2 linked regions of the Sus scrofa genome follow. The protein of the gene in region 2 purifies or fractionates together with the protein of the main gene of each other region. This does not show direct contact. Links are inferred from orthologs where the notes say so. Each region holds a gene or a part of one and is shown on either strand. Other genes may lie near its edges.

Region 1 (4,531 bases), on a different chromosome or scaffold from region 2:
AGCATTTAGTAGCACTAAGCTCCTCTAACTCTCCAGAAAGGCAGTGGGATGGTATTACCAAAAAAGACATGGATTTTTACAGTGAAAAGACCTGGTTTCAAGTTTCTGGTTCATCTTACAGCACCTCAGTTTGCTCATTTGTAAAATGCTGTTAGATCATTCATAGGTCATTGTGAGGATTAATTAAGACATTATACTCCAAAACTCCGGGGGGGGGGATGTTTCTCCAAACCCCATATGTTGAGGACATAAAAACCATATATCTGTTCAAGACCTCTCATCACAGCTCCAACTCTTATTTCCATTTGCCCAGCCACCCAAGCCAGACACCAGTCAGGAGTCCTCTCTTCCTGTTTGCATAGTCAGTCCCCCTAAGTCTAATCAGTCAGGAGGTCCTTCTGTTTCTCTAGTCTACCTCATACTCCTGCACCTGTTAACCACTGCCTTGGATCAGGCTAGGCTATTTGGTCCAACAAACATTCACTGCCTGCCTATGAGTGCCAGGCACTGGGCTAGGTGCTGTGAATATGAAGGGGAGTGAGATATGGATGCTGTCCCAGAAAAGCTTAAAATTTTCAACTGAGACTAGAAATCTAAAGACCATTTGAAGTCTAACAAAGTAAATGCCAGGAAAGAACTTATTAATTGCCTTTGGAATGTAAGGGAACGAGGTTGGGGTGTGGGAGGGTGGAAGAGTAAAATTAAGGAAAAGATTCTTGGGGAGGACTTCAGAACTGACTCGCTTTGCAAACTCCTGCTCCCCACACATACAGACTCTTCCTATTCCTCTTTCATGATTCAGAAACTGCAACAACACAGAGGTAAGAAATGAGCAATGAGACAGGGGCTGGGGTGGGGGTAGAGAGGACTCAGTCATCCTGTTCGCTAGAGAAGAGATGGGTGCACTATGGTCTGTGGGCCATGTCTGGCCTGCCAGACTGTTTTGATATGGCCAGCAAGTCAAGAACAGTTGGTTCATGTTCAAGCAGTTGAGGACAAAACCAAACAAGCCAAAGAAGAAAAGTATAACATGTGGAAGTTACATGAAATTCAAACTCCCTTGTCTAAGTTAAGTTTTATTGGAACAAAGCCACACTCAATTGCTTTAGTATTGTCTATGGCTGCTTTCATGCAATGATGGCAGATCCGATGCCACAGAGACTCTATGGCCCATAAAGCCTGAATATGTACTAACCGGCCCCTTATAGAGAAAGTTTGCCATTTCCTGTCCTAGAGTTTTAAGTAGAAAACAGATTATTGGATGATGAGATTGGAGAGAAAGCGAGGGTCAAGAAGGACCTCATAGTGACTTGATTCTCTAGTCTAAGTGATGAGGAGCTAAATAATAGCTTGTAGCATGAAAGTCTTTGTTAAAAAAGTTCATTTGGGGGAGTTCCCACTGTGGCTCAATGGTAACAAACCGGACTAGTAACCATGAGGATGCAGATTCGATCCCTGGCCTTGCTCAGTCTGTTAAGGATCTAGTGTTGCTGTGGCTGTCGTGTAGGCCGGCAGCTGCAGCAGCTCCAATTGTACCCCTAGCCTGGGAACTTCCATGTGCCTCGGGTGTGGCCCTAAAAAGCAAAAAAAAAAAAAAAAAAGTTTATTTAATTTGTATGGCAGGCAGTACAAAGCATGTATTTAAGGGGATGAAAATCCTTAAGGGGTTGAGGGATGTCTTCACAGGAAGATGATGTAAAACTTCAGGCAAAAAAGCAAAAGACACTCCAGCACTCTCCATTACTGCCAAGTTGTCCTCCATCTGCTTATCAGCAATTAATATGGTGCACATTTTATTTACCTGTTTACTGACTGACTCCTCCTACTCAAATGTAGAAAGATTTGGGAGGGTTTTTCTTAGCTTTGTTACGGCAGGGTTTATTACCTTCAGGACTTAGAATAGTGCCAGGCACACAGGAGGCATTCAATAAACATTTGTTAAATTAATTCAATTAAGGTTTTCTCCAGCATCAGGCTATAAAATCTGTGAAGACAGGGACTATTCCATTCTGTTCATCATGATCTCCAGCTCCAGTGGACACGCAGTGAGCCCTCCATCAGGATTGAACAAGGGAAACAGTGACTAAATAAATATCATCTTAAAACGTAACTTTCATTTTTAAATCTCATGCCCTTAATTGCTTTCGAATCATCATTTCTTAAGTGGAAAGTCGTTAAATATTTGCTGAATGGATGAATCATTGATAAACAAATAGAGAAGACCATCTCCCTCAAGTAAAGACTCCCCTATTTTCAAGCCTCTGTCTTTAATTGACTTCATATACTGTTTCCGTGCTCCTTTTACCTTCTCACAGGGGTGGGGGGTGGGGGTGGCACTACTATGCTCTAAGTCCTAGAAAATCCGCACCCGGGAGGGGGATTTTGAGTCAAATGTTGACCAACTCTTCCGAGCCAACAGGGTACAAAAGTAAAAGCAAACACAATGAACAGAGTGGGAGGCTGGGACAAACACAGTAACGACAATTCGGAAAGAAGCGCGCGGGGAAGACTGATCCCGACCTAAGGATTACAGGGCGGGGCGGACGGAAGCAGGTGATCCAGGTTACAGGCCTGCGCCCCGGGCCTGGGCTCTGATCGCCAACCTGGGCTGCATACGCCGCAGGGTAACAACGGCCTGGCCAAGTCGGCCCGCGCGCTCCCCAAGCCCCCCAACCCCTCGCCACCCCTACAGCAACACACGGTCAGGTCCTGCCCGCTCACCTGCAGCCCCTGCGAGTCCATGGCTTCCCCGAGGCCTGGCCGCAGGCCTCCTGGGCGAGCGCCCAGCACTACCCAGCAGAGAAGACCGGAGCTCAGAGCCGCGGCGCCCAGGCCCAAACCCGCTCCGGACGCGGAGGGAGGGGCGGGGGGGGCGGGGTCGCGCCGCCAATGGCTGCCGGCGCGAGGGGGCGGGCCCTCGCTGCAGGGATTGCGGGGTCCCGGCGGGGGCGGGGACCCGGAGGAGCGCAGAGGACGTGGAAGGGGTTGAGGCCGGATCGGATGTTGGGGATGGAAGGGGAGGTCAAACAGGGAAACGACCTTCGGCGGACCGCGGGTGGGCGGGCCCGAGGGTAAGGAATTAAAGAACGAAGGAAATAGAAAAAGTACAAGTGTTTCCCATTACAGTCTACAAAGGAAGGCACCATTTTCTACACGTTTGTGTAAAGACAGGTTCCCGCAATGCGGCTGTTTGATAGCCTGACCCTCTCAAGAGAAAAGCCTTTACCTTTCACATGTAGTATTGTATTTGGCCACAAGGTGGCGCAGAAAAATCACGCGTTCTTAACAGAAAGAGAAGCTTCTTGGGCCAATCTTTGCAGGCATTGCTGCAATCCCATGTTTGTTGTTTAAATGCACATTAAATTAGTCCTTTTTTCCCCCACCCCGGATAATGGGAGGAACAAATTAAGTAAACACATTTTTTCAGTTTTTAAAAATACTGCTAATTTTAAACTAAGAATGAAATTAATCCCTTTACAAAAGTTTGTGTTTATATTGATCAGGTAACCTTCAGTTGCTTACAGATTTCTTCAGTTATTTTAGTGAATTAAATTAACGTATAATGAACTAAGAGATTTCCTAGTTCTGCTTAAAGACATTTTAAAAATAAGATTTAAAGTTTAATCTTTGTAGAATCTTTTACATAGATTCCAAATTCCAATCCTAGTTCTAATTATCTTACTTTGGTTGATATTATTCGTAGTCGCTTAATCAGACTTGAAGTTTGTTAAGCCATCAACAAACATTAACCTTTTTTCACGCCAGCAGTTTAGGTAATAACAACCTTGAAGGAGAGGATGACTACTAACACAGACTTTAATGCTCGGCAATATTTCTCACCGCTTTCCCTTAGAAGAGCATTCTACTCAAAGAGGAATGTATTTTTTTCATGAAGACTGGGATTTTTTGTTTGTTTCCATCATTCATAGTCAAGCTAAATGTTTGTGGTGATAAGCAACTGGTAATGCCTGCTGGTCTCATTTTCAAAGCCTGTGGATTAATGTTACACTTGATATGCAACACAGAATACTACAAACCAAGGTGCTTGTCCTGAAATGGAGTTTTAACTAAAGAACAACCCCCCCCCCTTGGCTAAGAAGGCAGCTGCAAGCCTTTCCAGCTATGTTCCTCACTATACCACCCTTCTTGTAATAATGTAACAACTGTGTGCCCTCTGTCCAAGCCAGCAGCCCTGCTAATCATGTACCCCCAGCATTGCTTATCAGTTCTCCTTCTGTAACCTTGCTTGCTCAGTTTCTTAGGAAGGAACACTGTCTGCTTGGGGATGGGTGGGGGGGGAGGTCCAGGATGCTTACATGGGAAAATCAAGACCTTGTAGTGTGTAAAAGTTACTGAGAACAAAGACCTGGTGCTCAGACTCTGGAGGTGACTCCTCTGAGCCTGCACCAGTGCTGAATAAACCTTGCTTTTCCCTATCTCTGAGTGCTGTTTGTCTCCTTCCATTGCCACAGTTTTTTGCGGTTTCCGCAACAGTCCGAGTATACAAGCTTAAACTGATACTTCTGGTATT
Region 2 (3,394 bases):
GTCTTCATGTCAACCACCAGTGAACTACTCCTGGTCACTGAAAAGCATATAAAACTGGCACAAATAACCTGTGGCCAAAAAGAACCATGTGAAAAAGAAAAACCAAACTATAAAAATGAGACCAACCCCAGCTCCCTCTGCCCCCTCCCATGTGACTCCTCATCCTTGCGACACTCACAAGCAAGGAGGCCTTGTAAAGACTTGATTTTGGGGTGGGTTTTACCCACTGAGCAAGGCCGGGGATCGAACCCATGCCTTCATGAATACCAGTCAAGTTTGTTACTACTGAGCCACAACAGAAACTCCAAAGACTTGTGAACATACTTTTTGCTCAGCTTGTCTGCATAAGAAAGCTTTATGTATGAACACTGACAGCAAGAGGGTCTATTTCACCACCAGGTATTTAATCTGTTCTGCTTCTGAATAAGGACACAGTAGCAACACAGACGCCCCAGGGGGCTGGGCGGGACAGGCCTCACCCTCTGGGCCCCTCTGTGCTCAGGCTCAGCTGCCACCCACCCGTCCAGGGTACTCCTGGTGCAGGATGGCTTGCGTCTCCAGGACACAGACTCCTGCTCTGCCCTGGGATGAAGGCTTACGCTCATGCTCACCTGGCTTCAAAGAACTGACTAGGTCACTGCTGCAGGTGATGATGAAGCTACTGTGACACAACAGGACTGTCTGAACCTTGCAAGGGATGGGGCTTTGAAAAAAGAATGGCAACACTCCTAGATACATTTGTATATAAATCATGTTTTCACTTCCATAGCATACAAAAGGTATAAATATGATTCATGTAAAATCAATCGCCTGCACATTCAAGCAGAAAGTACATGAAGCTGGGGCATGTCTGTGAGCCAGGGTGGCCGGAGGAAGCAGGGTCAGAGGTCGGAGGCAGTTCCCCCCTCCCCAGCCTCCCCCCGGACACTTCACATTCTGGCAACTGGAGAGGAGTGGACAGCCTTCTGCGGTCAGCGAGGCGGTGCGTCAGATGGCACGTCAGGCCGCTGGGGTAGGAGGCTGGAGAGCTCGCACAGCAGTGAGGCACTTGAGCGAAGCAGGCCTGAGGGGGACCAACAGCGTCAGACTGAGCTGGCGGGGCTGGGCTTGCCTGTGGGGATGAGCCCAGGTCTCCTTCCTGCTGCTGCTGAGCTGCTGCTGGCAGGGAGCTGTGGCGGGGAGGGGGCAGAAAAGGAGCCCACAGCAGGGAGCCGCACCCCGGGGCTGGCCGAAGCTCAGGGCACGGGGCTCTGGAGCCAACCGCCACCAGGGCAGGGCTTCCCGCATTCTGGATCCTCAAGCCTCAGGCCCACTCAGAGGCTGTGAATGGGCACAGATTCGCGGGATTTGCCGGCAGAGGCTAAAACTCTTACAAACTCAGAGGAAAAGTGACACGATGTGCACAGATGAGCCAGGCCCCAGGGTGGAGGAGACCTCTCATGGAGAGGGGTCCCAAGCTCTTGACATCACACACTGTCCCCTCCCCTCCCAGGCGGCTGCAGGAGCTCAGCAGTGGGAGGCACTCCTGGCTGAAAATGATGAGGGCCGGGGCCAAACACCCAGCCTGAACTAAACTGTCACCTCCAGAGCTGCTGTGCCCGGCCTACACCAAAATTAAGACAAAGACGGTAAAGCTCTCACATTGCTCAGCACCAATCTGGCCATAGCCACTCCGGCTAAGGCTGGAGCCCGCCAGCTGGCCCTGGGCAGGGGAGACTTTGACATAGTGCCTTCCGAGCCCCATGGGGAAGACAGCAAGCCCTGAGGGGTGGGTGCCACATTCCCCCACAAAGCAGAGAGCCGAGCACTGCTCCCCGGGCCCTTCCCCACATGCTGGGTGGTCGACAAAGGATCACTGACATGATACCATGGAAACCGTGGTCCCCAACACACGGTACAAGCTACATGACAGTGGAGGCCAGGGCCCTCCTCATATCCCTTTTGGACTGTGGCTTCCTAGGGGCGGCCACCCCCACTCAGTGCCTTCACGACCTTGGACCCATCCTGGAAAATGGCCAGGCCCACACCTGGGGAGACTCCTGGGCAGGGCAGGGCCAGCCTGCTTCCCGCAGCACAGCCCCGCCTCCAAGGAGGGACCAGCCACGCAGGGATGAGCGGGGGAGACACCGTCTGGCCGCTGACCTGGATACCAAAGTAATTCAGGGAACTGGCCCTTTCTGAAAAGATCTTCAAGAAAAGAGACCCATGGGAGTTCCCGTTGTGGCTCTGCGATAACGAACCCGACTAGCATCCATGAGGACTCGGATTCGATCCCTGGCCTTGCTCAGTGGGTCAGGGATCCGGCATTGCCGTGATCTGTGGTGTAGGTCACGATGCAGCTCAGATCCCAAGTTGCTGTGGCTGTGGGGTAGGCCAGCAGCTGCAGCTCCAATTCAAGCCCTAGCCTGGGAACCTCCATATGCCGTGGGTGCGGCGCTAAAAAGCAAAAAAAAAAAAAAGAGAGAGAGGCCCGAGAACCTGATCATTAGAAAAGCTGATTCTGGCTGCAGGTTTCCAAGAACAGGACTCGGCCTCTGGAGGTGCAGAAGCTGCCGGGCAGGTGCTGGGCAAGCTCTCACCCAGGTTAGGCTGCGAGCCCCAGAGGAGGGGTGTACATACACGTGTACACACATGTGCGTGTGCACACTACGTGCTTTCAGGGGTCAGGCCCAAAGAGGCAGGCTGTCACTCTTCACATCCTGGGGCAAAAGCAAGGGTGCGGCTGCCTGTTCCGGAAAGCTCTGGGAGAGAAAGCCCAGGGCTGCTTTTCTCTCACTCACAGGCCAGCTTGCTGTCGAAGCTAGAGAGCCCGATGGCAAAGGCCTGAAGTGCACACAGCGGGTAGTTGTAGTCCAGCGTGAACACGTCGTCCGCCACGCGTCCAAACTGCATGACTATATAGTCGGCTAGAAGAAGGAAGAAATTAGGACGTTAGGAGGTAAAGTGCTTGTTCTGGGGAAAGGCCCGTCTTGGATGCAGACAAAGATCCTCCAAATAGTCAGTTAATCACCAGGTCTGTCTAAAATGGGAAACTTTTAGAAGGATGGACAAAGGCATTCACAAGAGTGGCTGCCAACCATGAGCAAAGTCTGTCCTGCAATTCCACTCAGGCCCAGGGCCCGGGCAGCAGGAGAGGGGCCTGCTGGGAGCGGCCAGGAGCCTTTACTGAAGAGGGGTCTTTGTGTCTGCTTCCCGAACAGCCTCCCCCTGGACTTCTCTGATTTGCCACAAGATCTCTCACACTCTCCTTCCCTCCTCGAGTGGTTCACAAGTTTGACTGTAAAACTGCAAACACTCTGTCTTTCCAAAGAAATCTGCTTTCTCAGATCCTTCTCTCCCAACTAAGGCTTCCCACCAGGGATGGGAACGCTCACTTCCTCCAATCCCCAGGCCA

Evidence for each region.
Region 1: the proteins of TULP3 (region 2) and TTC21B purify together in Homo sapiens (affinity purification with mass spectrometry; 5 studies listed by BioGRID and IntAct, counting the BioPlex papers as one, with this or other methods). This does not show direct contact. The link is inferred for Sus scrofa from reciprocal best matches to the Homo sapiens genes TULP3 and TTC21B.

What each region holds. Positions count from the first base shown.
Region 1 is NC_010457.5:72,509,627-72,514,157, forward strand, and holds the start of TTC21B (tetratricopeptide repeat protein 21B), read right to left. Parts: upstream 2,878-4,531; 5' UTR 2,743-2,877; coding exon 2,722-2,742; intron 1-2,721. UniProt on the Homo sapiens protein: Component of the IFT complex A (IFT-A), a complex required for retrograde ciliary transport and entry into cilia of G protein-coupled receptors (GPCRs). Essential for retrograde trafficking of IFT-1, IFT-B and GPCRs.
Region 2 is NC_010447.5:67,200,947-67,204,340, forward strand, and holds the end of TULP3 (tubby-related protein 3), read right to left. Parts: intron 2,907-3,394; coding exon 2,781-2,906; coding exon of another isoform or gene 2,773-2,780; exon of another isoform or gene 1,064-2,772; coding exon 972-1,063; 3' UTR 734-971; downstream 1-733. UniProt on the Homo sapiens protein: Negative regulator of the Shh signaling transduction pathway: recruited to primary cilia via association with the IFT complex A (IFT-A) and is required for recruitment of G protein-coupled receptor GPR161 to cilia, a promoter of PKA-dependent basal repression machinery in Shh signaling.